Macaca mulatta: one gene and its partner. Each later gene encodes a partner of the first gene's protein in a complex. Links are inferred from orthologs where the notes say so. Each region holds a gene or a part of one and is shown in the gene's direction. Other genes may lie near its edges. The genes, in order: KCNJ4 and TAX1BP3.

Region 1 (14,336 bases):
CCCAGGTTCAAGTGGTCCTCCTGCCTCAGCCTCCCGAGTAGCTGGGATTACAGGCACCCACCACCACGCCTGGCTAGTTTTGTATTTTTAGTAGAAACGGGTTTCTCCATGTTGGTCAGGCTGGTCTCAAACTCCTGACCTCAGGTGATTCGCCTGCCTTGGCCTCCCAAAGTGCTGGGATTACAGGCGTGAGCCACCGCGCCTGGCCAATAATAAATTTTTAAAAATTAAAAGTCTGGTAACTGGTGTAGCACTGTCACTTCTTCATTTTGCCAAGAAAAGACATTAACATTTTAAAAGCAGTCAGCATCTCCTGTGACCATCACTTTCTAAAAAAATGTTTGCAACTGAAAGAGTCCCAGGATATAAAGGACAGCAGTACCATTGATGTTTTTTTTGAGATGGAGTCTTGCTCTGTTGCCCAGGCTGGAGTGCAGTGGTGTGATCTTGGCTGACTGCAACCTCTGCCTGCTGGGTTCAAGCAATTCTCATGCCTCAGCCTCCCGAGGAGCTGGGATTACAGGCGTGTGCCACCATGCCCAGCTAATTTTTTTGTATTTTTTGTAGAGATGGGGTTTTGCCATGTTGCTCAGGCTGGTCTTGAACTCCTGGCCTCAAGAGATCCGCCTGCCTCTGCCTCCCAAAGTGCTGGGGTTACAGGCGTGAACCACCGCGCCTGGCCCATTGATCCTTCTTAGGCTCATTTTGCCATGGGCTAGTGGCCCACACTGGGGGTTTCAGAAACCTCAGGCCCCACTTCACCAATCCCTCTGGTTCTATCATTTATATGTCAAGCTCTGTGACCTTCAAAAAAGCTGGGGAGGATGAGTAGTCCCTTAATTGGAGGAGGACCTGACCCCAGGGAGAGGAAGAACTTGTTCAAGGTCACATGCAGGGCCGTGGCAGGGGGCCTCCCACAAAAGTAGTTTAATCATAGGGATAAAGCAGACACCTAAACAACCAGGGCTCTTTTTTATTTTATTATTTATTTATTTATTTATTTTGAGACGGAGTCTCACTGTGTCACCCAGCCTAGAGTGCAGTGGCTTAATCTCGGCTCACTGCAACCTCCGCCTCCCAAGTTCAAGCAATTCTCCTGCCTCAGCCTCCCTAGTAGCTGGGATTACAGGCGCCCACCACCATGCCTGGCTAATTTTTTTGAATTTTTAGTAGAGACAGAGTTTCACCAAGTTGGCCAGGCTGGTCTTGAACTCCTGGCCTCGAGGGATCTGCCCGGCCTCCCAAAGTGCTGGGATTACAGGTGCGAGTCACCGCGCCCAGCAGGGCTCTTTTTAAAAAAAATATCACTAGTCAGAGGAGGATGGTACTGAATTGTCAAGGCCTTTTGACCATCTCCTGCCATCGTCAGCCTTCCCCAGGAAGCCCCATGTGACAAGGAAGAGAAAACCTGGCCATCTCCTCGTGGTTGTCACATGAGAACACAATGCCCAGCTCATACCCTTCACTTTTTGGCCAGGCCTTGCACAGGTCAGCCTCGAATTAGCAGCGGAACCTCTCTCTCTTGCTAAAATGGTCTGTGGTGGCAGCAGCATGCACTTATTTGATCGAGTCACTGCAGACCAAGGGTTTTCAGGGGGATGGGGTGTCCCAGGGGCTGCTGCATGGGGAAGGGTGCCAGGTCTGAGGAGTGCCAGGGAAGCAGCTTTCCTGCTAAGCTCCAGGATGTGCTGGGGGCACTGGGAACCCAAGACAGGACCCAGCACATAGCAAAAGCTCAGGATACCTGCTGTAAGCTGTCGGGGAGGTGTCAGGGTGAGGGGTAAACTATGTCCCCATCGGGCTGCACTGTGGAGCCCAGTGGGCTGGAGGGGCTGAGGAGTGAGTGTTGCCGTTGGGGCTGGGGATTGTGGAAGCTCAGGGTTGACCCTGGGCACTCGCTAATGGGGAGGGGTGGGCACTGCTGGCAAGGGGACGCCCAATCTCTGTAGCCATCAGGGGATCGGCTCCCTTAACCCCAAGGCCCCTCCCATGAAGACATCTCATCTGCAGCACCAGGTGAACTCACCAGGTCAGGAGCCAATCCCACCGGGCAAAGAACCAGGGATGCCCTGGAACTCTGGGCTTGTGTTTGGCCTTGGGCAGGGGCCCCCACCCTCTCTGGAACTCAGTGACCTCACCTGTTGAAGGCCTGGGCCGCCACACCCTGTCCCCTCTGCCTCTATCCTACACACCTGTGGATGGTGGTCCAGTTTGGACTGGCTGATTTCTTCCCTGCCTTTGCCCCAAAACCCACCCCAGCCCCCTCCAGGGAGGAAGTGGATGAGGAACCCAGGGGTGGGGGTGAGGCCTTGTTCAGGGCTGGCCCACCTGGCCCCACTCTGGGACTCTTAGCAAGTCCTTCCTATCTCTGGATTTCCTTGGCCTCAGACATAAAATGAGGGTCCTGAACTCGGTGACCCTATGCTCCTGTCCTGACAGTCCGCGGTGCTCCTGGAGCCATTTGAGGCAGTGGGACAGAACAGGGGGAATATGTTTAGCAAAGAAAGGCCTCCCTGAAAACTCTATTTATAGAGCAGAAGGTGTGCCTGGTCCCAGAACCCCAAGGTTTCCATCTGGAGCCCTGGCTGCTGGAATGCTGCGGGAGGGGGCAAAGAGGGTCTGAGCCTCCAGCTCTGAAAGGCCAGCCTTGCATTACAGGCCATGCCTGCATGACCTGTTAGGTCTCCAGCATGATATCTCATTGGCCCATTTTCTCTTTTTTTTTTTGAGGCGGAGCCTCACTTTGTTGCCCAGGCTGGAGTGCAGTGGCACGATCTTGGCTCACTGCAACCTACGCCTCCCAGGTTCAAGCGATCCTCCTGCCTCAGCCCCCCTAGTAGCTGGGATTACAGGCATATGCCACCATGCCTGGCCTAATTTGTGTGTTTTTGTTTTTTGGTTTTTTTTTTGAGATGGAGTCTCGCTCTGTCGCCTAGGCTGGAGTGTAGTGGCCGGATCTCAGCTCACTGCAAGCTCCGCCTGCCGGGTTTACGCTATTCTCCTGCCTCAGCCTCCTGAGTAGCTGGGACTACAGGCGCCCGCCACCACACCTGGCTAGTTTTTTTTGTTTTTGTTTTTGTTTTTGTTTTTTTTTTTGAGACGGGGTCTCGCTCTGTCACCCAGGCTGGAGTGCAGTGGCCGGATCTCAGCTCACTGCAAGCTCCGCCTCCCGGGTTCACGCCATTCTCCTGCCTCAGCCTCCCGAGTAGCTGGGACTACAGGCGCCCGCCACCTCGCCCGGCTAGTTTTTTTGTATTTTTTAGTAGAGACGGGGTTTCACCGTGTTAGCCAGGATGGTCTCGATCTCCTGACCTTGTGATCCACCCGTCTCGGCCTCCCAAAGTGCTGGGATTACAGGCTTGAGCCACCGCGCCCGGCCTAGTTTTTTGTATTTTTTAGTAGAGACGGGGTTTCTCCGTGTTAGCCAGGATGGTCTCCATCTCCTGACCTCGTGATCGGCCCGTCTCGGCCTCCCAAAGTGCTGAGATTATAGGCGTGAGCCACCGCGCCCAGCCCTAATTTGTGTATTTTTTTTTTTTTTTTTTTTGAGACGGAGTCTCGCTCTGTCGCCCAGGCTGGAGTGCAGTGGCTGGATCTCAGCTCACTGCAAGCTCTGCCTCCCAGGTTTACGCCATTCTCCTGCCTCAGCCTCCCGAGTAGCTGGGATTACAGGCGCCTGCCACCTCGCCCGGCTAATTTTTTGTATTTTTTAGTAGAGAAGGGCTTTCACTGTGTTAGCCAGGATGGTCTCGATCTCCCGACCTCGTGATCCGCCCGTCTCGGCCTCCCAAAGTGCTGGGATTACAGGCTTGAGCCACCGCGCCCGGCAATTTGTGTATTTTTATAGAGACGGGGTTTCTCCATGTTGGTCAGACTGGCCTCAAACTCCCAACCTCAGGTGATCCACCCACCTCAGCCTCCCAAAGTGCTGGGATGACAGGTGTGAGCCACCGCACCCGGCCAGCCCCATTTTCAAGATGAGGAAACTGAGTTTCAGAGTAGTCAGTAGCTCGCCCAAGTCACACAGTGGATCTAGGACTTCAACCCAGGACTGTAGGAGCCAGGGAGCTCTTTGGGAACAAAGGGAATAGGGAGAAGAACTCGGAGTCAGGGTGGGTGACCGCGGGGGAGGAGGTGGGGGCAGGGCTCACTCTCCCTGGGCCCGGAGAGGGAGTTTCTCTTGGGAAGAGGCAGGCTCTGAGGCTGTTGATCTCTAAATTATAGCGTTGGCGCGTACCGGTTGCTGCAGCAACCGAGTTGTCCTGAACCGGGGAAGTGTATAAACATTGCCACAGATGCACAATTAGATCAGGAAGAAGAATAGAACAGAAAATAGAAACTTCCAGCCTTATGTAATTCTGGGCCAAAATGTTATTGGGAACCCAGGCCCAGTCCTGGCCCTGCCAGCTGCTGGGGGCAGGGTAGCACCATGTCTTCCCTGGGGACCCAGTGGCAGGGAGGGGTGGAGAGAGGGTCTGTCCTCTACGGCCCGAGGCACATCCCGCCACCCAGTGCGGTGAGGGGCCTCTTCTGCTGCAACAGCTGGGGATGCTTGACAGGCAAATCCTGCCTATCACCAGCTCCTGGGAAGTGTGGGAAGGCAAGCAGGAGGGTGATGGCTTTACCCCAGCGCCTGCTGTCCCCGTAGGTCCCATGAGGTAGGGAGTTTTGGTGCCCATGTTACAGGTGAAGACGTGGAAGCTCCGAGAGGTGAACTGAGTGTGTCCTCCCCTCCCACTCCCTGTCTCCCCGCCATCAACTCATTCATGTTGGTGCCACGCAAGTTTGTATCCACTGCCAGCTTTGTGGCTGGCAGCTGGCTTTCCCTCTCTGAGCCACCCGGGACATGGGAATAGCGATGTCTACAGAGGAGTCAAAGCTGGGGACTCCCCCTTCCTCCACGGGGCACTGGGCAGGAATTTGGGCTCAAGGACTCAAAGCAGCACTGGGAGGGAAGAGTCTAAGAAAGTAGCTCAGACCCAGGTGGGGCTGCGGGTTCCAGTAGAACTTTCTTTTTCTTTTTTTTTTTTTTTTTTTTTGTTGAGACAGAGTCTCGCTTTGTCGCCCAGACTGGAGTGCAGTGGCCGGATCTCAGCTCACTGCAAGCTCCGCCTCCCGGGTTCACGCCATTCTCCTGCCTCAGCCTCCCTAGTAGCTGGGACTACAGACGCCCGCCACCTCGCCCGGCTAGGTTTTTTTGTATTTTTTAGTAGAGACGGGGTTTCACCGTGTTAGCCAGGATGGTCTCGATCTCCTGACCTTGTGATCCGCCCATCTCGGCCTCCCAAAGTGCTGGGATTACAGGCTTGAGCCACCGCGCCCAGCAGAACTTTCTTTTTCTTTTTCTTTTTTCTTTTTTTCTTTTTTTGACATGGGGTCTTGCTCTGTGGCCCAGGCTGGAGTTCAGTGGGATGATTACAGCTCACTGCAGCCTTGACCCCCTGGGCTCAATAGATCCTCCTGCCTTAGCCTCCCAAGTAGCTGATGCCACAGGCATGCACCACGATGCCTGGCTAATTTTCTTATTTTTTGTAGAGATGGGGTCTCACTCTGTTGCCCACGCTGGTCTCAAACTTCTGGCACAAACAATCCTTGCATCTCGGCCTCCCAAAATGCTGAGATCACAGGCATGAACCCCTGTGTCCGGCCAGAAATTTCTCAGTGCTAGAACTCTCCTATATGTCTTCTCTGTCCAGTGTGGTGTGGTGGCCATTGACCATATGTGACTCCTGATCACTTAAAATGTGGCTCATGCAAGGAAGGAGCTATACTTAATATTTTATTTAGTTTTAATTAAATGTAAAGAGCCACAGGTGGCCAGTGTCTATCTTACAGGAGGATGTCCAGCCCCCAAGAAGCCCAAAAGTCCATAGATGGAATCCAGGGAGGGGAGCGGGCCCAGAGCCTCCGTGGCTCCCTATGCTCAGGGCAAGCAGGACAGAGGGACAGGGAGGAACTGAGATGGGCCTCAGGAAGCTTCCAGAACAGTGAGCATAGGAGGGCCGGAGGGGCAGTGTTGAGGGGCAGGGACTAGGACCTGGATCCTTGTGGCTTTAGCTTCCTGGTCTGTGGACCCCTATCTCTAAGCTGGGTCGGACTCAGGGGCACTGGCTCAGACCCTGTCATCAGAACCCCCTCCGTTGCCACCCTCCGCCTGCTGCGGCAGAGGAAGTCTTAGGTCCTGGTCCAGGCTCACCTGCTTCTGAGAGTCTAGGGGCTGAGTCTGGGTGGCCCTGAGGAGGCCCCTTGCTCCCCAGCATTTCACCTGTCTGGCTTCTCCTCCGCAGGCCCTGCGTCTTCCCAGGTGACCACGCCGGCTTCAGGACATGCACGGACACAGCCGCAACGGCCAGGCCCACGTGCCCCGGCGGAAACGCCGCAACCGCTTTGTCAAGAAGAACGGCCAATGCAATGTGTACTTCGCCAACCTGAGCAACAAGTCGCAGCGCTACATGGCGGACATCTTCACCACCTGCGTGGACACGCGCTGGCGCTACATGCTCATGATCTTCTCCGCGGCCTTCCTTGTTTCCTGGCTCTTTTTTGGCCTCCTCTTCTGGTGTATCGCCTTCTTCCACGGTGACCTGGAGGCCAGCCCAGGGGTGCCCGGGGCGGGCGGGCCGGCGGCGGGCAGTGGCGGGGCAGCCCCGGCGGCCCCCAAGCCCTGCATCATGCACGTGAACGGCTTCCTGGGTGCCTTCCTGTTCTCGGTGGAGACGCAGACGACCATCGGCTACGGGTTCCGGTGCGTGACGGAGGAGTGCCCACTGGCAGTCATCGCTGTGGTGGTCCAGTCCATCGTGGGCTGCGTCATCGACTCCTTCATGATCGGCACCATCATGGCCAAGATGGCGCGGCCCAAGAAGCGGGCACAGACGCTGCTGTTCAGCCACCATGCGGTCATCTCGGTGCGCGACGGCAAGCTCTGCCTCATGTGGCGCGTGGGTAACCTACGCAAGAGCCACATTGTGGAGGCCCACGTGCGGGCCCAGCTCATCAAGCCCTACATGACCCAGGAGGGTGAGTACCTGCCCCTGGACCAGCGGGACCTCAACGTGGGCTATGACATCGGCCTGGACCGCATCTTCCTGGTGTCGCCCATCATCATTGTCCACGAGATCGATGAGGACAGCCCGCTCTATGGCATGGGCAAGGAGGAGCTGGAGTCAGAGGACTTCGAGATCGTGGTCATCCTGGAGGGCATGGTGGAGGCCACGGCCATGACCACCCAGGCCCGCAGCTCCTACCTGGCCAGCGAGATCCTGTGGGGCCACCGCTTTGAGCCCGTGGTCTTTGAGGAGAAGAGCCACTACAAGGTGGACTACTCGCGTTTTCACAAGACCTACGAGGTGGCCGGCACACCCTGCTGCTCGGCCCGGGAGCTGCAGGAGAGTAAGATCACCGTGCTGCCCGCCCCGCCGCCCCCTCCCAGTGCCTTCTGCTATGAGAACGAGCTGGCCCTCATGAGCCAGGAGGAAGAGGAGATGGAGGAGGAGGCGGCTGCGGCGGCCGCAGTGGCCGCAGGCCTGGGCCTGGAGGCCGGCTCCAAGGAGGAGGCGGGCATCATCCGGATGCTGGAGTTCGGCAGCCACCTGGACCTGGAGCGCATGCAGGCTTCCCTCCCGCTGGACAACATCTCCTACCGCAGGGAGTCTGCTATCTGACCTCCAGGCCCGGCCCTCACCACTGCCCACAAGAGCCTCTGCCGGGGGTAGGATGCCAGGACACCCCCTCCCACACTCAGGACAGAGCCAACCGTGGCTCCGTGGACCTTCTGGAGGAAGGTGGGGGTTTCAAAGACTGGGGGACCCCTTCCTCCTGACTCCAGCACCCTGGCCTGGGAAGAGCTCGGCCCAATCAGCCTGGGTTCCCCCAGCACCTACTCCTGGTGGCTCTGGGTCCCCGGATCCACCACCCTTCCCCCACTGACTCTTCAAGGACGTGCCCTCTTTGCTCTCAGAACCTTGGGGAAGGTGACTGGACTGCTGGGTGGGAGACATCTCGGGGTTTCAGGGTGGGCAGGGGGTTAGTTTGGGGAGGGGGGTGCGTTTCTTTTGCATGACTGTGGCCTGTTGCTCATGACTTTCTTTTGTAAATATCTATAAATGGAGACAGATGGAGACACCAAATTCACCTTCTGCCGTTTTTACCTGCCAGACAAGGAGATATGGTCCCTCTCTGTGCACCCTTCCCCACCCTGCCCATCAAGCCTAGCCCCTTCCCCTGCCCAGCTGGCTGGCCCCTTGAGGCCTGCAAAGCCAGCCACCTTGGCCCTTGGATGGTGTTGAGTTTGGGTGCAGAGGAGGGACTCTGAGGGGTGGGATGAGGGAGCATCCCTCCCTCCCTGCAGTCCCTCCGGCCCCGGGGCCCAGCCCAGATTGACAATAGAGTTTGTAACTATATATATATATACACATTTGAGACGGAGTTTGTAACCATATATATATATTTGAGACGGAGTTTCGCTCTTGTTGCCCAGGCTGGAGTGTAACGGAGCAATCTCGGCTCACTGCAACCTCCGCCTCCCGGCTTCAAGCGATTTTCCTGCCTCAGCCTCCTGAGTAGCTGAGATTACAGGCATGACCCACCACACTCAGCTAATTTTTGTATTTTTAGTAAAGATGGGTTTCACCATGTTGGCCAGGCTGGTCTCGAACTCCTGACCTCAGGTGATTCACCCACCTTGGCCTCCCAAAGTGTTAGGATTATAAGCGTGAGTCACCGCACCCGGCCATAACTATATATTTTTAATAAAGTATATGGTCCATTGGGGTTGGCTGGTTGAAGATGGAGGGGTGAGAAGGAGAGACAGTGAGCAAGCACACATGTAATTGTGCCTGTGTGTCATGTGTGTGCCTGTGTAGTATGTGTGCCTATGTGTTAGGTGTGTGCCTGTGTGTGTCATGTGTGTGCCTGTGTAGTATGTGTGCCTGTGTGTTATGTGTGTGCCTGTGTAGTATGTGTGCCTGTGTGTGCCTGTGTGTTATGTGTGTGCCTGTGTGTTATGTGTGTGCCTGTGTGTTAGGTGTGTGCCTGTGTGTTATGTGTGTGCCTGTGTTATGTGTGTGCCTGTGTGTTAGGTGTGTGCCTGTGTAGTATGTGTGCCTGTATGTGCCTGTGTGTGTCATGTGTGTGCCTGTGTAGTATGTGTGCCTGTGTGTGCCTGTGTGTTAGGTGTGTGCCTGTGTAGTATGTGTGCCTGTGTGTTATGTGTGTGCCTGTGTAGTATGTGTGCCTGTGTGTGCCTGTGTGTTATGTGTGTGCCTGTGTGTTATGTGTGTGCCTGTGTGTTAGGTGTGTGCCTGTGTGTTATGTGTGTGCCTGTGTTATGTGTGTGCCTGTGTGTTATGTGTGTGCCTGTGTTATGTGTGTGCCTGTGTGTTAGGTGTGTGCCTGTGTAGTATGTGTGCCTGTGTGTGCCTGTGTTATGTGTGTGCCTGTGTTATGTGTGTGCCTGTGTGTTAGGTGTGTGCCTGTGTTATGTGTGTGCCTGTGTGTTAGGTGTGTGCCTGTGTGTTATGTGTGTGCCTGTGTTATGTGTGTGCCTGTGTGTTATGTGTGTGCCTGTGTGTTAGGTGTGTGCCTGTGTAGTATGTGTGCCTGCGTGTGTCTGTGTTATGTGTGTGCCTGTGTAGTATGTGTGCCTGTATGTGCCTGTGTGTTAGGTGTGTGCCTGTATAATATGTGTGCCTGTGTAGTATGTGTGCCTGTGTGTGTTATGTGTGTGCCTGTGTAGTATGTGTGCCTGTGTAGTATGTGTGCCTGTGTGTGTTATGTGTGTGCCTGTGTAGTATGTGTGCCTGTGTAGTATGTGTGCCTGTGTGTGTTATGTGTGTGCCTGTGTAGTATGTGTGCCTGTGTAGTATGTGTGCCTGCATGTGTCTGTTAGGTGCGTGCCTGTGTAGTATGTGTACCTGTGTAGTATGTGTACCTGTGTAGTATATGTGCCTGTGTGTATGTGTGTGCCTGTATTATGCATGTGCCGGTGTAGTATGTGTGCCTGCAAGTGTCTGTGTGTTATGTGTGTGCCTGTGTGTTAGGTGTGTGCCTGTGTAGTATGTGTGCCTGTGTGTGCCTGTGTGTTACGTGTGTGCCTGTGTGTTAGGTGTGTGCCTGTGTAGTATGTGTGCCTGCATGTGTCTGTGTGTGTGGCCCTTTCTGAGTGACTGACCCTTGGAGGGAACTTTATCACCTGCCATTCTCCTTCCTGCGAGTCAATAGAAGGATCTGGAGTTGGCATCAAAGAACCAAAAGCTTTGATGTCAGAGCTTTGTTACCTAATAGCTGTGTGACTGTCAGTTCTTGGCCTCGGTTTCATCTTCTGCAGAATGGGATTAACCATCCCTCCCGCCCGCGATAATGGGCAGGATAGCCCTGTGTGGATGTCAGCCAACCCTTCCTAACTCAGGTGGAAGGGGGAAGGGCCCACCCGATCCACACCTCCCTACATATATGCAGATCCATACACCGCTGGTAGAGCTGGTGGCAGGACACTGATGGGAAGGGCCCAGGGGCCGGGAAACCTGGTCACAGACTTGACCAAGACAGGCTTGGTCTCTGCTCTCTGTGGGACCTTGGGTAAGTCCCTTCCCTTCTCTGGCTTCGGTTAGCCTATGCTATGTAACCAGTCAGCGCAAAACGGAGAGCAATGATGCATCCTCTGTTAGGGTCCTGTGGGTGGGCTGGGGTTCCTAGCTGATTTCTCCTGGGCTCACCCGGCAGCTGTGCTCAGCTGGACCGTCAGTGGGCCTGGAAGACCCCCGAAGAACATGTCGGCAGCTGGTCTGACTGCTTTCTGGGGGGCTTTGGTTCTCCTCCAATAGGCTACATCACATTCCTTCATGGTGACTCCGGGCAGCAACCTAAGAGGGCGAAGGTAGAAGCTGCAAGGTTTCTGGAGGCCTAGCCTTGAACTTGGATAACACCGCTTCCACTGCAGTCTATCGGGCAGAGTCCAGGTCACAAGGCCAGCCCAGGTTCAAAGGGTGGGAAATTAGACTCCACCTTTTGAGAAGGAGGCAAAGTCACATTGCCAAGGACATGCGGAGCAGGAGGGAGCTGTGGCCCTAGTTGGTCATCTATCCCAGAACCTTGGAGTTTGAGGGTTCCTCCCACCCGACCTCTATTCTACAGGCCGACTGTGTGCCTTGGGCTGTAAGGAAGCAGAAGGCACCCTTCTGGGTCCCAGGGATCTTCCATACAAAGGTGCCAGCTGCCTCGAGAAACAGGGAAGCAGCCGGCAAGCTTGCCTTGTGAATGACCACGTCTCACCAGCCCCAGCAGTATAGCTGCCGTTTGGGTGAATCACTGTGCACCCCGTATGCTGCGCTGCTGCAGAAGGAAACTGGAGACCTCTTTCCTGGAGACGGAGCCTCGTTCGGGATCCAAGCCTCCCAACAGATAACTCATAATGTCTCTGATTTGCATAACACCTTTCACGTCCTTGGGTTCATTGAACTCTTACGAAACTCCAAGAGGAAGCCAGGACAAGGATTATGGCCTCCTTTTACTGATGAGGAAATAAATGGTGGCCCAGAGAACCAGGGAACTGGCTGGAAACAAAGTGAGGACAGTCAGAGGCCCGGGACCCTGCTTTTCCTTCACTCCATCCTCTCCCAGGTGGGGGCTCAATGAGGGGGAGAGGCTGCTTCCTTTCCTCTTCTGCCCCTTCTCAGATTTCCCAGAGTGCACCTGTGGTCTTTGGGGGCCCCCCTGGAAGAGCCTGTGGGGGCCGCTCAGCAAGAAAGAAATTCACATTCTGGAAGGACCCCTGGTCCTCTTCTGTCAGCTGAGTACCCCAGGGTCTCACTCCTGACCCTGGAGGCTCATGAGAGATGTCCCGCTATCCAGCCCCGCAGGCCCTGGGTGGGTCTCGCCAGGTCTCCCCGGTCCTCCCTCCACATCCCCAGGATGCCACGGCTCCCGGGCTACGAGCAGTAACTGAAGAGGACTCAGGCTCAGGTGCTCCCAGACTCAGAAGCCTCCACCTGGAGCACGTCTTCGGGGATGTCCACCCTCCTCTAAGATATGCGAGAGGCCTGGATGCAGGGTGAGGAAGGGGTACATGTGGGGTTACCTCAAAGAGGGCCCGTCATCCACCATCCAGAGCAACATGGGGCGTTCCAAGGTCCCTCCAGGCCCTTCACCAGCTTGCGGCTTGCTCATATGCTTGTGGTAGTTGCTCTTTTTGGAGGGGCCTGGTCTCTCTGGTCACATGCAAGGTGACCTGTGGCAGGGTCACACAGAAGAGGCAAGTGAAAGCCCAAAGCCAGGACTTCTGGAGTGCCAAAGGTCAGCTCCAGTGTGGGCACTGGGGGAGAGGGCCATGAGGTGCCGAGAGCCCGCAGCTGCAGGGAGGCTCCCAGGCCTGGCTGCACTGCAAACTCCTGCTGGCTCAGCTCTGCTTGGGGCTGACTCACCTTCCCTCTCCCACCTGTTCCCCTTTCACAGCCCTCCCACCTGCCTCCCTCCTCGTGCAGCTCCTCTGATCTCTCACTCCACTCCGGCTCCTGCGGCACTGACATGGGGGGATTGCTGCGTCTGGGGGTGTAAGAACCTTAGATGTCACGGAGCCTAGAATTGCGCACACGGGCGGGCTGAAGGAGCCGTAAAGTGCTGCCAAGCCCTCCTCATGCCACACCAGCTTCCCTGCAGAGCCAGGGTAGGGAGACCCCCTCTGCCCTGCCCTCCCCTCTCTTCCCCACTTCGGTCACAGCCTCTGGGGGAGCAGGAGTGGTGGGCGGGATGGAGAGAATGACGAGGGTATCATGCATGCAGAAGAAAAGGAGGAAGACAGGGAGGGAGGAAGAGGAAGAGAAAGAAAAGGAGGAAGACAGGGAGGGAGGAAGAGGAGGAAAGGGAGGCAGACAGATAGGGAGGAAGAGGGCGGGTCTAATGGGAGCAGAAAATCCCACCCTCATCTGGCCACGCCTGCCGGCCTGCCTGGAATCCCACAGCTGAGACCTAATCCTTGTAGATTCACCATGGCTTCCTTCCCACCAGCTTCTGGAAGATTTATCTTCTTTATGAACTCAAATAGCTCATAGAAGAATAGAGAAGAACTTAGGAGGCATCCAACTCAGCTATTTCACCTCATCGCGTTCACCCCCATCTTTGTTAGACCCCACGACCGCAATCAGAGGACTGCTTCCTGCGTCTGGCTTTTCTCATTGCAGTTTTTTCCAGGTATTGACTTTTCTGGGTATTGATGGATTCTACATCTTTTCAATTTTTTTTTTTTTTTTTTTGAGATGGAGTCTCACTGTGTTGCCCAGGCTGGAGTGCAATGGTGTAATCTCGGCTCACCACAACCTCCACCTCCTGGGTTCAAGAGATTCTCCTGACCAGGCATAGTGTCTCATGCCTGTAATCCTAGGACTTTGGGAAGCCGAGGCGGGCAGATCACCTGAGGTTGGGAGTTCAAGACCAGCCTGACCAACATGGAGAAACCCTGTCTCTACTAAAAATACAAAATTAGCCGGGCATGGTGGCACATGCCTGTAATATCAGCTACTAGGGAGGCTGAGGCAGGAGAATCACTTGAACCCGGGGGGTCGGAGGTTGCAGTGAGCCGAGATCGCGCCATTGTACTCCAGCCTGGGCAACAAGAGTGAAACACCATCTCAAAAAGAAAAAAAAAAAAAAAGAGATTCTCCTGCCTCAGCCTCCCAAGTAGTTGGGATTACAGGTGCACACCACCATGCCTGGCTAATTTTTTTGTATTTTTAGTACAGATAGAGTTATGTCGACCAGGCAAGTCTCGAACTCCTGACCTTGTGATCTGCCCTCCTCAGCCTCGCAAAGTAGTGGGATTGGAGACGTGAGCCACTGCGCCCAGCCTTCAGTTTTTAATGACTATAGAATGTTCATCAAATTGTACAGGATCAAAAATTATAGACCATTATGGATCATCAAGGCAACCCCTCATTTACAGAAACAGAAACTGAGACCTGGAGCAACGCAGTGATGAACATCTTTGTTCACTGTTTTTTCTTCTTGTGCCTGTTTGCATAAGCTGAGTACAAGTTTCAAAAGCTAACAGTTCTGGGCTCTGTGTGGCAGACTGTAGAAATGCACCCTTCACTCAAGCCTGTAATCCCAGCACTTTGGGAGGCCGAGATGGGCAGATTTCGAGGTCAGGAGATCGAGACCATCCTGGCTAACATGGTGAAACCCCGTCTCTACTAAAAAAAATACAAAAAGCTAGCTGGGCGTGGTGGCAGGCACCTGTAGTCCCAGCTACTTGGGCAGCTGAGGCAGGAGAATGGCATAAACCCGGGAGGCGGAGCTTGCAGTGAGCTGAGATCCGGCCACTGCACTCCAGCCTGGGCAACAGA
Region 2 (15,126 bases), on another chromosome or scaffold:
TGATCACGCCTGTCATTGCAGGCGGAATGGGGTGTTGGAGAGGTCAACGAGGAGTAGCCAGATAAAGTCTCCCCAAGGAAGCGACCTGTGGGTTGAAATCTGAAAGGTTATAGCAGCCTAATTAGGTGACGGGGAAGCATTCCAGGTGAGGTAAGCACAGGTGTGAAGGGACGCTTTGACGTGGGAAGGAGCAACGAAGAAGCTGGGTGAAGGCGGCAGACAGGAGCCAGGTTTGGCGAGGCTTTTGTCTAATCAAGCTGACTGTCTTTAGCTGTGAGGGTTGCCCCTTTAGACTTTGCTTCCTTAGAGGACTTACCCTCGTCGTTTCTTCAAGGCTGGCCAAGCCTTCCAGTGACCTCCTGACTGCCCATCAGGGCCCCCATGCTCAGAAAAGCCAGAGATCCCGTGACAGCTTCCAGACAGTGTCACACTCTTCCAGTTTCCTTGCTTTTTGCGCAGCCCCCAGCTCCCACCGTTTTTCTGCATAATCTTGGTGCAAGAGTGGGAGGCTCATTAATCTGATGGAAACTGGCTTTTAAATGGGGAGAAGTGAAGCAGGAACTGGAGCTCCTTTCAGACTTGGGAAAGCCCTTCTCCCTGGGCACTGGTTGCCTCACTGGGAAGCTGAGAGTGCCAGCCTCTGGAGCTCCTTTCTGTTCTGATATTCCAGGAGCACGTGAATTGCCTCTGCTTATGTTCAGGCCCCATCCTAAAGCCAGCCGTCCGGCACCGAGCGATCCCAGGCCTTTGGGAATGCCATGATGCTGCCCGATGGGAAATTTGTACACTGGGTGCTATCCATGTCACATCACGGGGACCAGCCATGAAAGAGCAAAGTGACCTCCACGTCTGATGCTGGGGTCATCAGGACAGACCCATCATGGCTGTCTTTTTGCCCCACCCCCTGCCGTCAGTTCTTCCTGTCTCCGGGGCTGGCTTCCCGCACTAGGGAACGGGTTGTAAGTGGGGAACACGACTTCCTTCCAGAGTCCTTGAGCACCTCAGCTAAGGACCACAGTGCCCCGTAGAGCTCCTAGATTACCTCACTTGGAACGGCATTGCGCATGTCTGGAGAAGGGCTCCATTTGGTTCCGCCCCACTCCCCTCTCCAAGTGCCGCAACTTCCCTCAGAGCATCCTCTCCAGTGGATCCAAGAACTCTCTCTCCTAAAGACACCACCTTCCTGCCAGCTGTTTGCCCTTAGGCCAGTACACAGAATGAGTGGGGGATGGCAGACGCTTTCTGGCACCTGCCCAATACGTGTATTCTCCGACACTCTTATTTGGTCATAAAACAATAAACAGTATCAATTTCAAATGTGTCCTGACTTTCTTCCCCTCATGCCTTCATGTTTACCTGTGTATATATATTATATATAAAGTGTGTATATATATATATATAATATATATAATATATATATTATATATATATATTTTTTGAGACGGAGTCTTGCTCTGTAACCCAGGCTGGAGTGCAGTGGCACCATCTCGGCTCACTGCAGCCTCCGCCTCCCAGGCTCAAGCGATTCTTCTGCCTCAGCCTCCTGAGTAGCTGGGATTACAGGTGTGCGCCACCACGCCTGGCTAATTTTTTTTGTATTTTTAATAGAGACGGGGTTTCACCATGTTGGTCAGGCTGGTCTCAAACTCCTGACCTTGTGATCCACCCACCTTGGCCTCCCAAAGTGCTGGGATTACAGGCGAGAGCCACCGTGCCCGGCCCATTTTTCCCTGTATTCTAATTTTTTTTTTTGAGATGGAGTTCTGCTCTTGTTGCCAAGGCCGGAGTGCAATGGCTCACTGCAACCTCTGCCTCCCGGGTTCAAGCAATTCTCCTGCCTCAGCTTCCTGAGTAGCTGGGATTAGAGGCATGTACAACCACGACCGGCTAATTTTGCATTTTTAATAGAGACAGGGTCTCTCCATGTTGGTCAGGCTGATCTCGAACTCCCGACCTCAGGTGATCCGCCCACCTCATCCTCCCAAAGTGTTGGGATTCCAGGCGTGAGCCACCGCGCCCGGCCTTTTACCCGTATTTTGAAGGAAAATGTAGGAAGGCAAGATCAAAAGAGGCAGACACGAGAAATAATTAGTAACCCATATAATATATACCCATTATCTTGCAAGGAAATTCAAATTATGGAAATGCTTTAAATGAACAACTATTAAAATTATAGACTAGGAAGGCACTGATAAAACTGGTACTTTTCATTCAATTAGTGTAATCTAACAACTTGAAATCATTTGGAATCAAATTTTTATCTTCTGCTGTAGGAACTTACTAAATTTCTCAAGACAATAGAAACGCAGACATTCATTGGAGAATTTTTTATAGTAGTGAACATTTCAAACTTACTGCCCAACAATAGGGAAATGGGTAAGTACATCATCAGCTCACTTATCCCTCTTCCTTCTTCCTCCTCTCCCACCAGGCCGGGGACTCCCTCTGCTTCTCCCTCACACCAGGAATGAACGTTTCCTTCCCACTCAGAGGAGGTTCTGAGAGGACAGAGGTGGGCGAACCACTGAGGATCTTCAGTGGGGGGCAGAGAAAGGGCTCACTGGGATAGGGAGGCAACACTACGGCCTCGGCTTCTCCTTGGCGTCGTGTGCGTGTGGTCCTGAAGCTGAAACGGAATATAACAGGTCTGGGTCCCAGATCCATTTCCATGACTGGCCATGAGCTATGATCTGTCAAAAGGGGTCTTGGATTCAAGCTCTCAGATCCCCTTCCAAACGAAAACAGATTATTAAAAAAAAAAGGCCGGGCGCGGTGGCTCAAGCCTGTAATCCCAGCACTTCGGGAGGCCGAGACGGGCGGATCACAAGGTCAGGAGATCGAGACCATCCTGGCTAACACGGTGAAACCCCGTCTCTACTAAAAAATACAAAAAACTAGCCGGGCGAGGTGGCGGGCGCCTGTAGTCCCAGCTACTCGGGAGGCTGAGGCAGGAGAATGGTCTAAACCCGGGAGGCGGAGCTTGCAGTGAGCTGAGATCCGGCCACTGCACCCCAGCCTGGGCGACAGAGCAAGACTCTGTCTCAAAAAAAAAAAAAAAAAAAAAAAAAAAAAAAAATTCCAAATGTGATTACATCACTTCAGACTAAAAACTTCCAAAGGCTTCCCCCATTTGCTCTGAGGATCAAGGCCAGGGCAAATGGGAGCTCACTGCAGCCTGAACCTCCTGGGCTCAAGTGATCTTGATCTTCCCATTCTAGCCTCCTACAGGGACATGCCCCCGTACCCATTACTGCCCTCCATGATCTGGTCTGGGTCTACCCTGTGGCCTCTTCTCTCACTCTCTAAATACAGTCACATTCCTTCCTACCCAATGGCCTGGAAACATGCGCTTTCCTGAAGGTAACCCCTTCCCCACACTTTACTTGGCCATGTTATTCAACCTTTGGGTTTCAGATGTAATGTCATTTCCTCAAAGAAGACTTCCTTGACCTCCATCCCCCAACTTGGGCTAGGTTTGCTGTGTCCTCTCTTCACAGTACTTACCATAATTTAAGTATTTGTGAAATTAGGTGATGCTGGTCTCCCCAGTTAACTATAAATCCAATGAGCACCATCATGTTCATTACCATAATTTCTTTTTTTAGACAGGGTCTCGCTGTTGCTCAGGTTGGAGTGTAGTGGCAAATTATGGCTTACTGTGGCCTCAACCTCCTGGGCCCAGGTGATCCTGATCCTCCCACCTCAGCCTCCTGAGTAGCTGGGACTACAGGCACATGCCACCACACCTGGCTACTTACATGTTTTTTTTGTAGAGATGGGACTCTCACTATGTTGCCCAGGCTGGTCTTGATCTCCTGGGCTCAAGCCTTGGCCTCCCAAAGTGCTGGTATCACAGCATGAGCCACTGCACTCAGGCAACTACTATAATTCTATTGCAATATCAAATAAACACACGCGTTTTATTCTTTCTTTTTTTTTTGAGATGGAGTTTCACTCTTGTTGCCCAGGCTGGAGTGCAATGGCGCCATCTCGGCTCACTGCAACCTCTGCCTCCCAGGTTCAAGCAATTCTCCTGCCTTAGCCTCTCTAGTAGCTGGGATTACCGGCATGTGCCACCACGCCTGGCTAATTTTGTACTTTTGGTAGAGACGGGGTTTCTCCATATTGGTCAGGTTGGTCTCGAACTCCCCACCTCAGGTGATCCATCCACCTCAGCCTCCCAAAGGGCTGGGATTACAGGTGCCCGGCCACAAATGCATTTTAAGATAACTCTCTTGACAAGAAAGGATCAGGGATTAACACATGGAGGTGTTTACACCCTAAACCAGCCCAAAATTCAGTTTAAATGTCCAAACAATTTTTTTTTTGAGATGGAATCTTGCTGTCACCCAGACTGAAGTGCAGTGGCACGATCTTGGCTCACTGCAACCTCCACCTTCCGGGCTCAAGTGATTCTCCTGCCTCAGCCTCCCAAGTAGCTGGGATTATAGGTGCCCACCACCACGCCTAATTTTTGCATCTTATTTTTAGTAGGGATGGGGTTTCACCATTTTGGCCAGGCTTGTATCGAACTCCTGACCTTGGGTGATCCGCCCGCCTCAGCCTCCCAAAGTGCTGGGATTATAGGCATGAGCCACTGTGCTGGCCTAAATGTCCAAACAATATTTAATCTTCCCTAGACATATTCTAAAAAATACAGCTTGACTGGCTGGGCGCAGTGGCTCACGCCTGTAATCTCAGCACTTCCGGAGGCTGAGGCAGATGGATCACGAGGTCAGGAGATCGAGACCATCCTGGCTAACCCGGTGAAACCCCGTCTCTACTAAAAATACAAAACATTAGCCGGGCGTGGTGGCGGGTGCCTGTGTATATGTGCGTGTGTGTGTGTGTGTGTGTATATATATAGATAAAATCTTGACTTTTTCTTATGGAAAAGACTGTCACTAAATGAAACGGAACTAAAATGACACCATTTATACCTGGAAGTAGTGGTTAGTGGTTAGTGGGAGGGAACGCTGGCCTGGGAAAGGTACACCCAGCCTATCAAGAGCAAATTAAGAGACCTGCGTTTGAATCCTGGCTCTGTCTCTTCCTAGCTGTATCTCCTCTGGCAGAAGTATTTAACCTCTCTGAGCCTCAGGTTCCTTACCAGGGAGCTAACAATAACATCTACCCTGTAAGGTTATTGCTAAAATTAAATGGGAGGATTGGTGTAAAAAGTACAGGTCACAATGCCAGCATATAGGGAACTCTGTTTTTTTTTTCGTGAGAGACGGAGTCGCGCTCCATCACCCAGGCTGGAATGCAGTGGCGCGATCTTGGCTCACTGCAACCTCTGCCTCTAGGGGTCAAACGATTCTCCTGCCTCGGCCTCCCCAGTACCTGGCATTGCAGGCGCGCGCCACCACACCCGGCTAATATTTGTATTTTTAGTAGACACGGAGTTTTGCCATGTTGGCCAGGCTGGTCTTGAACTCCTGACCTCAGGTTATCCGCCCACCTCGGCCTCCCAAAATGCTGGGATTACAGACATCAGCCACCGCGCCGGCCCAGGAAGCTCTTAATACATATTAACTGTTACTGCTTCTTAGGATGTTAATAAGAAGTTATTTCCTTATGTAGGCCCTTAGGGTCCGTTTCTGGATGGCCTATGTGTAAACGCAAGGACTTAACACAAGGCTCTGGCCCAGTCCCTGCTCTCCAGGAGTCAAATCTCGGCGATTTTGCATCAGTGGCAGACTAAGCTTTATGGCAGGAAAGAACTATACCAAGTGTCTCACGCTTCATTTAATCTGAAGAATATTACAGGCTCTCCGTCTTCAGATATAAATTATTTATAAGGTTACAGAACAAGCAGCGAATTCAACCACTTAAGGACTAAGGAAGTCTACACGGTGTTAATTGCTGGCCACAGTCCTCCCGATCTGGTTTTTAAAAAAAGTCCCCCGGGCCCCCATTTCAGTAGACGTGCACCATGCCGTAGAGGAACGTCCAGAACAGGACGTAGGTGAAGAGGCCCCCGATGAGGCCTCCTGTAAAGAGGGGTCTCCGTGATTTGAAATATTTGTTCCACCTCCTTCCCGCCTTGAGAATGAGGAGCAGGGAGAGCAGGACGGAGGCGAGCAGGTAGAAGATGAAGCCGTAGAGGCCGGTGAGGCCGAGGATGCCGGCCGTGGCCCCCGACAGCGCTGACACCGAGGTCCGGCAATAATCCAGGACGGCGGCGTTGCCCCGCACGGCCGCCTCGCTGATGAACGGCGGCCCTTCCCGCTTGGCCACCACCGCGGCCATCGCACCCGCCGGGGCTCGGCCTCTCGCTTTCTCGCGGAGCAACGCGGAGCTGCGGAGAAAACCAAGTTACAAGCAGCGCCCGAAGCTCGGTGAGTTGGGTTCACGCCGCCCCCTCCCCCTGGAGCTTCCGAGACCTGGCACCAATCCTGGGCCTCGGACCTTCCAAAAACGCCGAGGAGATTGAGGGTGCGAGTCGGCCGGGAGGTGGTGGCGCGTCTGCGTTCCCCGGCCACGCTGGCCCAGTTACCTGGAACACGGCGCCGGACACAGTACTTAGGGTTCCCTCAGACGGGAAGGGGAAGCGATGCCTGCGGCGCCATCTTGCTCTGAAGGCTGCCGGGAGGTCCCGGGCTGCGCACGCGCCCAGGTCCCGCCCCGCCCTCCGCGCCTGCGCCGTGGGCGCCCCGGACAGGCTCCACCCTCTGCCTGCTTTTCTACGCACGCGCCGGGACTTCCGAAAGCGGAGTAGCGCTCCGGCCAGTGATTGGCTGGAGGTTTGTTAACTATTCATGAGGGGGCGGACCGAGCGGGGCGGCCTTTGTTAAGCAGCGAGGGCGCGGCCGCGGGGACTCTGCTGCCGGCTTCCCAGAGCGGCGCTGGGCGACCAGAGTGGGGTCGAGATGTCTTACATCCCGGGCCAGCCGGTCACCGCCGTGGTGGTGAGTGCGCTTGCGCCGGCTCCTCCTAGTCTTGGCCTGACCCCACCTCGCAGAGCGGGAAACGGACACCCCAAGCTGGTTGACAAGAGCATCGAACCCGGGGATCCTGCGAACCGGCGGCAAGGGCTCGGGTTCCCGCTTTGCCGGAGCGGGCCGCAGTTCCCCCAGCCACGAAACAGGGACGGCCGGGACCCGAGAGCCTCCCGAGACCCTGGACGGAGCCCAGACTGCGCGCGCGGGGCGGGGAGGGCCACGGGGAAAGGCCCGGCTGCGGGAGCCTGGGAAAGCGCCCCCTTCCCGGGCCTCCGTGTCCCCAGCCGGGGAGCTGCGGGGGGCGGGCGCCGATCCCGACGTCCATGAGTCGCAGCCTCTGGAATGAGGAAATGCTTCCTCCGCTGCAGCTTGCGCCGCCGCCCGAAGGGAGATCTGGGGGTGGAGCTGTCCCGAGCCTGCCGTGGCAGCCCCTTCCCCCTTCCTGTCCAGCCTTGCTCCTCCGACCCACTCGCCGCCTGGTCCAGGGTGGACGCTCGTATAGCTGCGATGAGCGTTGCGTCTTGGAACTTTTCTTGGTTCTCCAGCCCTTAAGGCAGAAAAGTCCAGGCCTCCCTCCTGGCACCTGAGTCCTGAGTAGACCCTCTGGGGGCTAGCCTAGGCCCCTGGCCGCCCTCTGGCTTGTTGTAGGTGCTGGGTGGTATTAGACTAGGCAGAGAGAGGAAGGGAGGCTGGGCTGTTAGACTCAGACGCCGGTGTCACGGTGGGACGGGGCCTGGAGAGCAACCCTATGACAGAGGTGGGGAGTCCCAGAAAGAAGTGCTCAGCCAGAGAAGACCTCAGGATAGACTCAGGTCTCCTGCCTACCTCCCGACAGCATTCAGAGGAGGGACGAGAAGAAATGCCTGCCCGGTGGGCAGTAGGTCAAGTCCCCGCCCTGGAGCCTTAGGGACTGGGTGTGCTATCTCAGATGGGTGTGCTGGAGAAGCTCAGCAATCAGGTGGGTGGAGGCAGAGAAGCCACTGATAAAGGCGACACGTGAGGCTGAGCTTAGAGCACCAGCTCAGGCCTGGGCCAGGAGGAAACATTGCTGGACCAGCTGACAGCTGTCCTAAGCTTCACCGTCCCTGCACCAGCCTGACTTTTTTTTTTTTTTTTCTTTGAGACAGTCTTGCTCTGTCGCCCAGGCTGGAGTACAGTGGCGTGATCTGGGCTCACTGCAACCTCCGCCTCCTGGGTTCAAGCGATTCTCCTGCCTCAGCCTCCCAAGTAGCTGGGATTACAGACGTACACGAGCACGTCCACCTAATTTTTGTATGTTTAGTAGAGATGGGGTTTCACCATGTTGGCCAGGCTTGTCTTGAACCCCTGACCTCAGGTGATCCACCTGCCTCAGCCTCCCAAAGTGCTGGGATAACAGGTGTGAGGCACCGCGCCTGGCCCAGCCTGGCTTTTTTAGATCCCTAGCTGCCCCAGAGAGAGGGCACCAAGTTTACTCTTTAGCTAGAAGCGGGGTGGGGGCAGGGGCAGGTGAGGAGCCAGAGCAAGCCACCTTCTGCGTGACCTCACCCAGCAGATCAGTGACAGCCCTGTCTCCCAACCCAAGGGCCTGTAATCTTCTGACTATGCCGGCGAAGCAGGCCTGGAGGAGCTCAGTTTGGGGCATGAAGACCCAGGCGCAGTGGGTCTCATGCTTCCTGCCCCGCTCCCTCATGCCATAACTGGTCCCAGGGCCTTCCCCAAAATTGCAGGTGCATGCCTCCCAATTCTAGTAACACCAGGAACGTGCTTGAACATGGTGTGTATGGTCTGGCCTCTCCCTTGAGTCTTGGATTGGGGATGGGGTTGGGCAGGCTCACTCCCCAGTCCCCACCCTCTCCCATGTAGAATTTTGAGAATGTTAAATCCATTTAGGCCATTCCTCTGAACTCTGGCTCCATTGATCCATCTGCCTTCTGGACACCTGCCCTGCAGCTCCTGGCACTCCAACCCAACCTGTCCCTCCTCCTCCTGGGTCCTCATCTGAGTGATGTGTGTTCAGCCAGGCAAGGTGGCTGGGTGCTCCTCTTGACTCCTCTCCTCCATGAGTGGTCCCTAAGTCTGTAGATCTCCATTTTCAGGTAGCTCCATGTCCCCTAGCCTCTGCATCCTGCTTTTGTGAGATGTCCGTTCCTCTACTGATTACCTGAGTGGTCATTCTAGCAGCGAACCTGGCCATGCCCTGCCCTACTCCATTCCTGAGAACTCCAGTGGGTTCAGGATCAAGGCTACCCATCACCCCCTCAAAGCCTGATGCAAATAATCCCCGCTTTGGGGAACTTCTTTAGGTCTAGTCTGGATTGTCATCTTTTGCTTCTTTTCTCCTTCCTGTTAAAGCTCGACCTTGGGAGTGATCTGGTCTGGCTCCCAGCATCTGTTTACTGGACAGTGCTTGCCAAGGGCTTTGAAAGGAACTTGGCACAGTTGGGGACCATAACCCCAGAGCATGGTGGGAGCGCCTCAGAACACTCTTGTTTCTGCAGAAGAGCAGGGCCCGGGGCTTAGGGAGACACCCCTACTCCCCTTCAGGACGGGATCTGGCCCCAGCCTTACACTTTCAGCCTCATCTCGCCTCCCAGTTCTGTGTCCTGCACTGGACACTCCAGTCTCACGAACACGTATCCACAGCACCTTGAAGCCTGTGCTGTGCTCTGGTCCCCTTGGCCGGGAAGCCCTTCCTCTCCTTTCTATGCAAGTTTGATCTCTGTTTTTCCAGAGCACCTCCTGTGAGATGGGCTTCCCACCCACAAAAGCCGTAGCACCTGGACTCTTGGGCCAGCAGGGGCTTTGACCACGTGTTGACCAAGACCAGTGCCTAAGACTAATAGGGGAAGTGGGGACAGGTTGAGGACAGAGGGCTGTGTGGGTGGATCAATGTGGCCAATTTCTGAGTGCCAGCTCCTCAGCCTCCCAGGCTGTGAGCAGCTGGATTCCTGTAGGGGCCTGGGCCCCACCCCCTTGGCATGGCTCCGAGGCTGCTGCTGGGGACACACACCAGCCTCATTCTCCAACCACCCACTTCCCTCAACTGGCTTTTTTTCTTTGCCAGCAAAGAGTTGAAATTCACAAGCTGCGTCAAGGTGAGAACTTAATCCTGGGTTTTAGCATTGGAGGTGGAATCGACCAGGATCCTTCCCAGAATCCCTTTTCTGAAGACAAGACGGACAAGGTGAGGGGGTTCTGGGGTACTGGGACCGCTCCATGGGGCACAGGGGCCTGAGATAGTGGGTCTCTGTTTCCTGGGCCCCCATGGAAGGAGCAGACCTCATCTCTCAAACCATGTTCTCTAAGCAGGCATTGGAAGTGACCTAGTGAGAATAGGGATGGGTAGGGGTGAGGAAGGGCTGTCCAGATAAAGCCCAGGGGAGCACGGCCAGCGCACGGTGGGGCAGCGACACTCTGTCCCGGCTCTCTCAGAATAGTCCTCACTGACCGTGTGTGCTGGGACAGGCTGAGTGCGGGGACAGAGGGACGGCTGACAATGTGCTATGCTGGCTTCCGCTCTGTGGATAAGGGGCCAGTCCAGGGACCACAGGGCTTGACTTGGGCTACCCCTTTCCAGGGTATTTATGTCACACGGGTGTCCGAAGGAGGCCCTGCTGAAATCGCTGGGCTGCAGATTGGAGACAAGATCATGCAGGTAACACGTGTCCCAAAGGAGGAAAAACAAGGTTTGGGCCAGCAGGTCTGAAGCACGTGAGGTTGGGGACCTGCCGCAGCCTCCCAGCTGGGAGGAACTCACCATAGCCAGTTGGGAGCCCATGCTGGTATTGCCCCAGAGGACGCTGGCTTTCTCTCCTGTGTGTGTCTCAGCCACAGCGCTTGGCCTGGGATGTTAGGCTGGGGGCTTACTTGAATGACCCGGGCCTCCAAAGCCCTCTGCTTCCAGATCCCAGAGGGCGGGGAGCTGAAGTGGGCCTGTCTTCTCTCCCTGGGCCAGGTGAACGGCTGGGACATGACCATGGTCACACACGACCAGGCCCGGAAGCGGCTCACCAAGCGCTCGGAGGAGGTGGTACGCCTGCTGGTGACACGGCAGTCACTGCAGAAGGCCGTGCAGCAGTCCATGCTGTCCTAGCAGCTGCCACCGTCTGCAACTCCTGCCTGCCTCCCCTCTGTACAGGAACGCCACTGCCACGCTCTGTCCCCACCTGGCTTCTGCTGAGTGCTGGGCCCCAGCTCAGAAGGGCTACAGCTGGTCCCAGAGGCCAGGCCTGGCCTTCCTTCTCTTCTCCCACCCCTGGCCTGGGGCCTCTGGGACCAGCTTTCTCCCCTGGACCCCGAGGATTAGAAACAAGGGCCTGGAGCTGAGTGGTAGCCGGTCTGCTGTGACCACAGGCTCAGGTCCAACCTTGCTGCCTGGCCACAGCTGTGGCAGGGCAAGTGGGAACCACCATCTCTTGGGAGCCACCAAAGCTGGGAAATGCCGGAGAGGCCGGGCCTTTCCCGCTTTGCCCTGGCCGCCGGGTTCGGCTCCGCCACCGCCCCGCAGCCCTCGTGTGTCCACCCCGCAGTGCCTCTGCCCATCGGGGGACTGCACACACGTCCTGCCAGGGGCTGTATGAAGGTTTGCCCAGACAGAAGCCAGGTGGGCTCCCTGTTCACTCCCACTCTCCCGAGGGGTGCTGGCCTCCCCAGGGTTTACCTTCTTACAGGATTTAGATGAGGTTCGAGGCTCACATTTCAGGGCAGCTCTCAGGATTGTCATTTTCCTCTTTGCCTGTGGGTTTAACTTTTGTATTTTTTTAATCACGTTTGATACGAAATGTTTTTATCGTACTCTTTGGAGGTGCCCATTCTACTTCTGAATTTAGCTTACTAACTCGCATCTGGAAGCTCAGCAAGTGCACAAGCCTTACTTTGGTGACCGTGGAAACCACTGCCGCCCCTCCCCAACGTGGTGTGCTCAATAAACAGTGCTGGAATTCACAAGGGCTTTGCTGAGGCATGGGCTGGGATGTCTCGGGGGTGGGATACTGGGGCCAGAGCTGTGGTTTTAACGATGGCTCCATCCCCCACTGTTCTGGGACAAAGCTTAACTACTCCCAGGCCCACCTGCCTGGAAAGCCCGGGGCTGGTGGAGCCGTAGCAGCTGCACTGCGCCTCACCGGAACCACATCTGTGGGAGCATCTGGGAGCACTGCGGTGGGACCCTGGGGTGCATGTGCTTTCTTGGGTGTTATTGTGAAGCCCCTACTTGCTCCCACCTTCCTTTTTGCAACCTAGCCTCAGCTCCCACCTGGGAGGGGCCATAGGGACACCCAGAGGTGCCTGCGAGAGACCCCTGCCTATAAGACACTAAGGGCACTCCCTGTATCACAGCGAGGGATGCAACCCCCCACGTTGCTGGGGGCCGTGATCTGGCCAGATGGGGGTGAGCCAGAGAGCACCTGACCACCTGCGTACCAGCTTGGGCAAGGTGTTAGCACTCCTGGACCTACCTAGCACTGCCAAATCAGATTTTAAAGAAAAGTCCATAATTTTTTTTTTTTTTTTTGAGACAGAGTTTTGTTCTTGTTGCCCAGGCTGGAGTGCAATGGCGCGATCTGGGCTCACTGCAACTTCCGCCTCCCGGGTTCAAGTGATTCTCCTGCCTCAGCCAATCAAGTAGCTGGGATTACAGGCGCCTGCCACCATGCCCAGCTAATTTTTGTATTATTAGTAGAGATGGTGTTTTGCAACGTTGGCCAGGCTGATCTTGAACTCCTGATGTCAGGTGACCTGCCTGCCTTGGCCTCCCAAAGTGCTGGGATTATGGGCGTGAGCCACCATGCCCGGCCGGAAAAGTCAATCATTTGAAATATCTCATTTTAAAGTATGGCACCCAGTAACACATTGATTGGGTGACACAAGTGAGACAGGTCTGTGGACCTGGTCAGGCCAAAGTCTCTGCTCTACAGAAACGAGACCTGACATTCTTTGATGTTTGTGACAACTACATAGAGGAAGCGTCTGGAGAATAAGACCCCCACTGCCCCCCGCCCCCACACCCAGTGCTGGTGTGCCCTTCAGAACCTCATCCGCCCCCACTCACATCCAGATTGAGTGGCGTGCCCTGGTAATGGTAGACATGGAGCCTGGGAGAGTGACCTGTCCCTGGGCGGGCAGGAGTCTCACACTACCCAAGAGGGCTCCCCAGTGAAGTGCGGGGTCAGCACGCAGCCCCCTCGGGTCAGTGAACTTCACAACCTTACGCGCTTCCTCACACAAGGTGGGGAGCAGGGGCACCTGGCTCTGAAGGCCAGCACACCTGCCTTCTGTATCGAGCACACACTTAAGAGTGCAGAAAGGAAGCGAGTAGGTTTTAATTCAAGATACAGGCCCCTCGCGTTGTCTCATGGACGAAAGCTCAGTGGACTGACAAGCTCAAGGCATGTACGAGGCACGTCCTGGGACCCCCTGCTGCCATAGGAAGAACGACAGCTTCGGGTGGAGAGAAGGAGGTTGAGATCAGGGTTGGGCCCATACAGATTGTGTGAGGTGGTCTCAAGTACAAATACTTATCTGAGGCTCCTGAACAGGCCAGAAACTGGTGAGTCTCAGGTAGGGATCTGGGGAAAGAGAGAGAAGGGGGCCTGCCCTCCCTCCGGGGCAGCTGGTCGCCGTTTGGCAGGCCTAACAGACCTCTAAGGCACAGACTGGTAGCAGGAGAGAGGTGTCCTGTACTCCAGATGCTGGGTAAGGAGGGGCTGGGTGTGCTCAGGTGGGGCTCATCGGACTGGAAAGGTGGAGGTAGCGGAGAGGGCAGAAGAGAGTAAGCCACTTCCAAACGTCCCTCCACAAAATCTGAAAGGAGTTAGTATGCTAATGTGCTGGGCATGAGTCCAATTCAGAACCAATCTGGCAGGCACCTCAGGGCTCAGAAATACTCTGGGTAGGACCAGCTGTTGACGGCAGTCGCGGACGCTGAGTTATGTAGAGAGAGCATGTCAGGAAAGTGGCCTGCAGAGAAAGAATCCCGCGGCCTAACCCCAAAGTCCTAGTCCCTCCACCAGCACCTCTGAGTCCACTGGCCACGGCACCTGGCTGCTTGGTCTCTGGGAACGCAGCGGTGGCAGCGAAGTGCCCTTGGCTTTCCCGGCTGCAAGGTCAGCCCTTCAAGCTGCTCGCAGAAACGCTGGTAGTTTGGGGCAAGGCCTTCAGCTGCAAGTTCGGTGCCCAGTCCTGCCTGAGACGGCTGCCAGAGCCTGTGCGCGCTGCTTGAAGCCTTAAAGAAAAGAGATGGCGGCGTCAAGGCGACGGTGCCACGTGCCTGGCCGGGGAGGCCCAGGAGGGGCCCGGATGAAGGCAGGCTGTTGAATGGCCTCTGGCTCCAGGAGCAGAGTGCTCTCCTCTGTCCGCACACTGAGCCGGCCCTGCGTGCCAGGGCCCAACCGCTTCTCCGGCCTTCGCTGGGTGAGGCCTTCCCCAGCAGGGCGCGAGGCCGGGGGCTTTGCACACTGGGTCCCTGGGTGCTAGTTCAGCTGGTCGTACCCCGGTCTCTTTCTGTACAAACAGAAGTGCTGGATGAAGAAGACGATGTCGAAGAAAATGGAGAAGACCCCGAGTCCAAACTTGGTTGGGTCTCCGAAGATGAGCGTCCACTGGTCTGTTAGCGGCCGGGGGATGGAAGCTGGTGTTAGATTGTAGCTCCTGAGGCAGCTGGAGCATGTGGGGTGGTGGGAGGTGAGGGTCCCAAAAAACCACAAATCCTGCAGCTACGAAGGCCCCTAGGCGGGTCTCTCCTTGGGGGCTGGATTGGCTTGGATCCCAGCTGGGGGTGGAGCCCTGGTTGGAGGGTCCCGGGAAAGCTGGCCCCGCCCAATGCTCCAGCCACAGGGTGGCCAGCAGCCCGCTGGCTGACTCACCGTTGTTGTAGGACTGAAGGAACATCTGCAGGAGGCTGAAGCTGCCCCCGGTGAAGTCCAGGAGCACGTTGCCAATGCTCCAGCCCTCAGTGCTTTTGTAGTGAAAGTTCATGTAGGCCTGGGCCAGACAGAGGGACAGACAGATGGAGGGCGGTGAGGACTGGGCGGCTGCCTCACGTGCCTCGTGACTGCCCCTCCAAACAAAAGCGGTTCTCATTCCTCCCACTGGGGCCTTGGCTCCAAGGAACACAGTGACCTTTGGGCTGTGACAGGCCTCAGCCAAGGCACAGTTTGGGTGGTCCTGGGGGTGGGCGTCTCATCTGCATGTACAGCAAGGA

What was found.
Region 2: the proteins of KCNJ4 (region 1) and TAX1BP3 are in contact, whole or in part, in a crystal structure (PDB 3GJ9), measured with the Homo sapiens proteins. The link is inferred for Macaca mulatta from reciprocal best matches to the Homo sapiens genes KCNJ4 and TAX1BP3. Residues at the interface, in NP_004972.1 of Homo sapiens: Arg440, Arg441, Glu442, Ser443, Ala444, Ile445; in NP_055419.1 of Homo sapiens: Leu27, Ile28, Leu29, Gly30, Phe31, Ser32, Ile33, Gly34, Gly35, Asp38, Gln39, Gln43, Asn44, Thr58, Arg59, His90, Asp91, Arg94, Leu97, Thr98.

What each region holds. Positions count from the first base shown.
Region 1 is NC_133415.1:13,103,686-13,118,021, forward strand, and holds the end of KCNJ4 (inward rectifier potassium channel 4), read left to right. Parts: intron 1-6,287; 5' UTR 6,288-6,326; coding exon 6,327-7,664; 3' UTR 7,665-8,772; downstream 8,773-14,336. Other genes in the region: uncharacterized protein LOC144331675, read left to right, coding at 11,835-12,049. UniProt on the Homo sapiens protein: Inward rectifier potassium channels are characterized by a greater tendency to allow potassium to flow into the cell rather than out of it.
Region 2 is NC_133421.1:5,149,055-5,164,180, reverse strand, and holds TAX1BP3 (tax1-binding protein 3), read left to right. Parts: upstream 1-6,821; 5' UTR 6,822-6,872; coding exon 6,873-6,911; intron 6,912-9,990; coding exon 9,991-10,110; intron 10,111-10,503; coding exon 10,504-10,581; intron 10,582-10,881; coding exon 10,882-11,019; 3' UTR 11,020-11,870; downstream 11,871-15,126. Other genes in the region: P2RX5 (P2X purinoceptor 5), read left to right, coding at 2,432-2,471; EMC6 (ER membrane protein complex subunit 6), read right to left, coding at 5,920-6,252; CTNS (cystinosin), read right to left, coding at 14,031-14,148, 14,415-14,529, 14,789-14,906. UniProt on the Homo sapiens protein: May regulate a number of protein-protein interactions by competing for PDZ domain binding sites. Binds CTNNB1 and may thereby act as an inhibitor of the Wnt signaling pathway. Competes with LIN7A for KCNJ4 binding, and thereby promotes KCNJ4 internalization.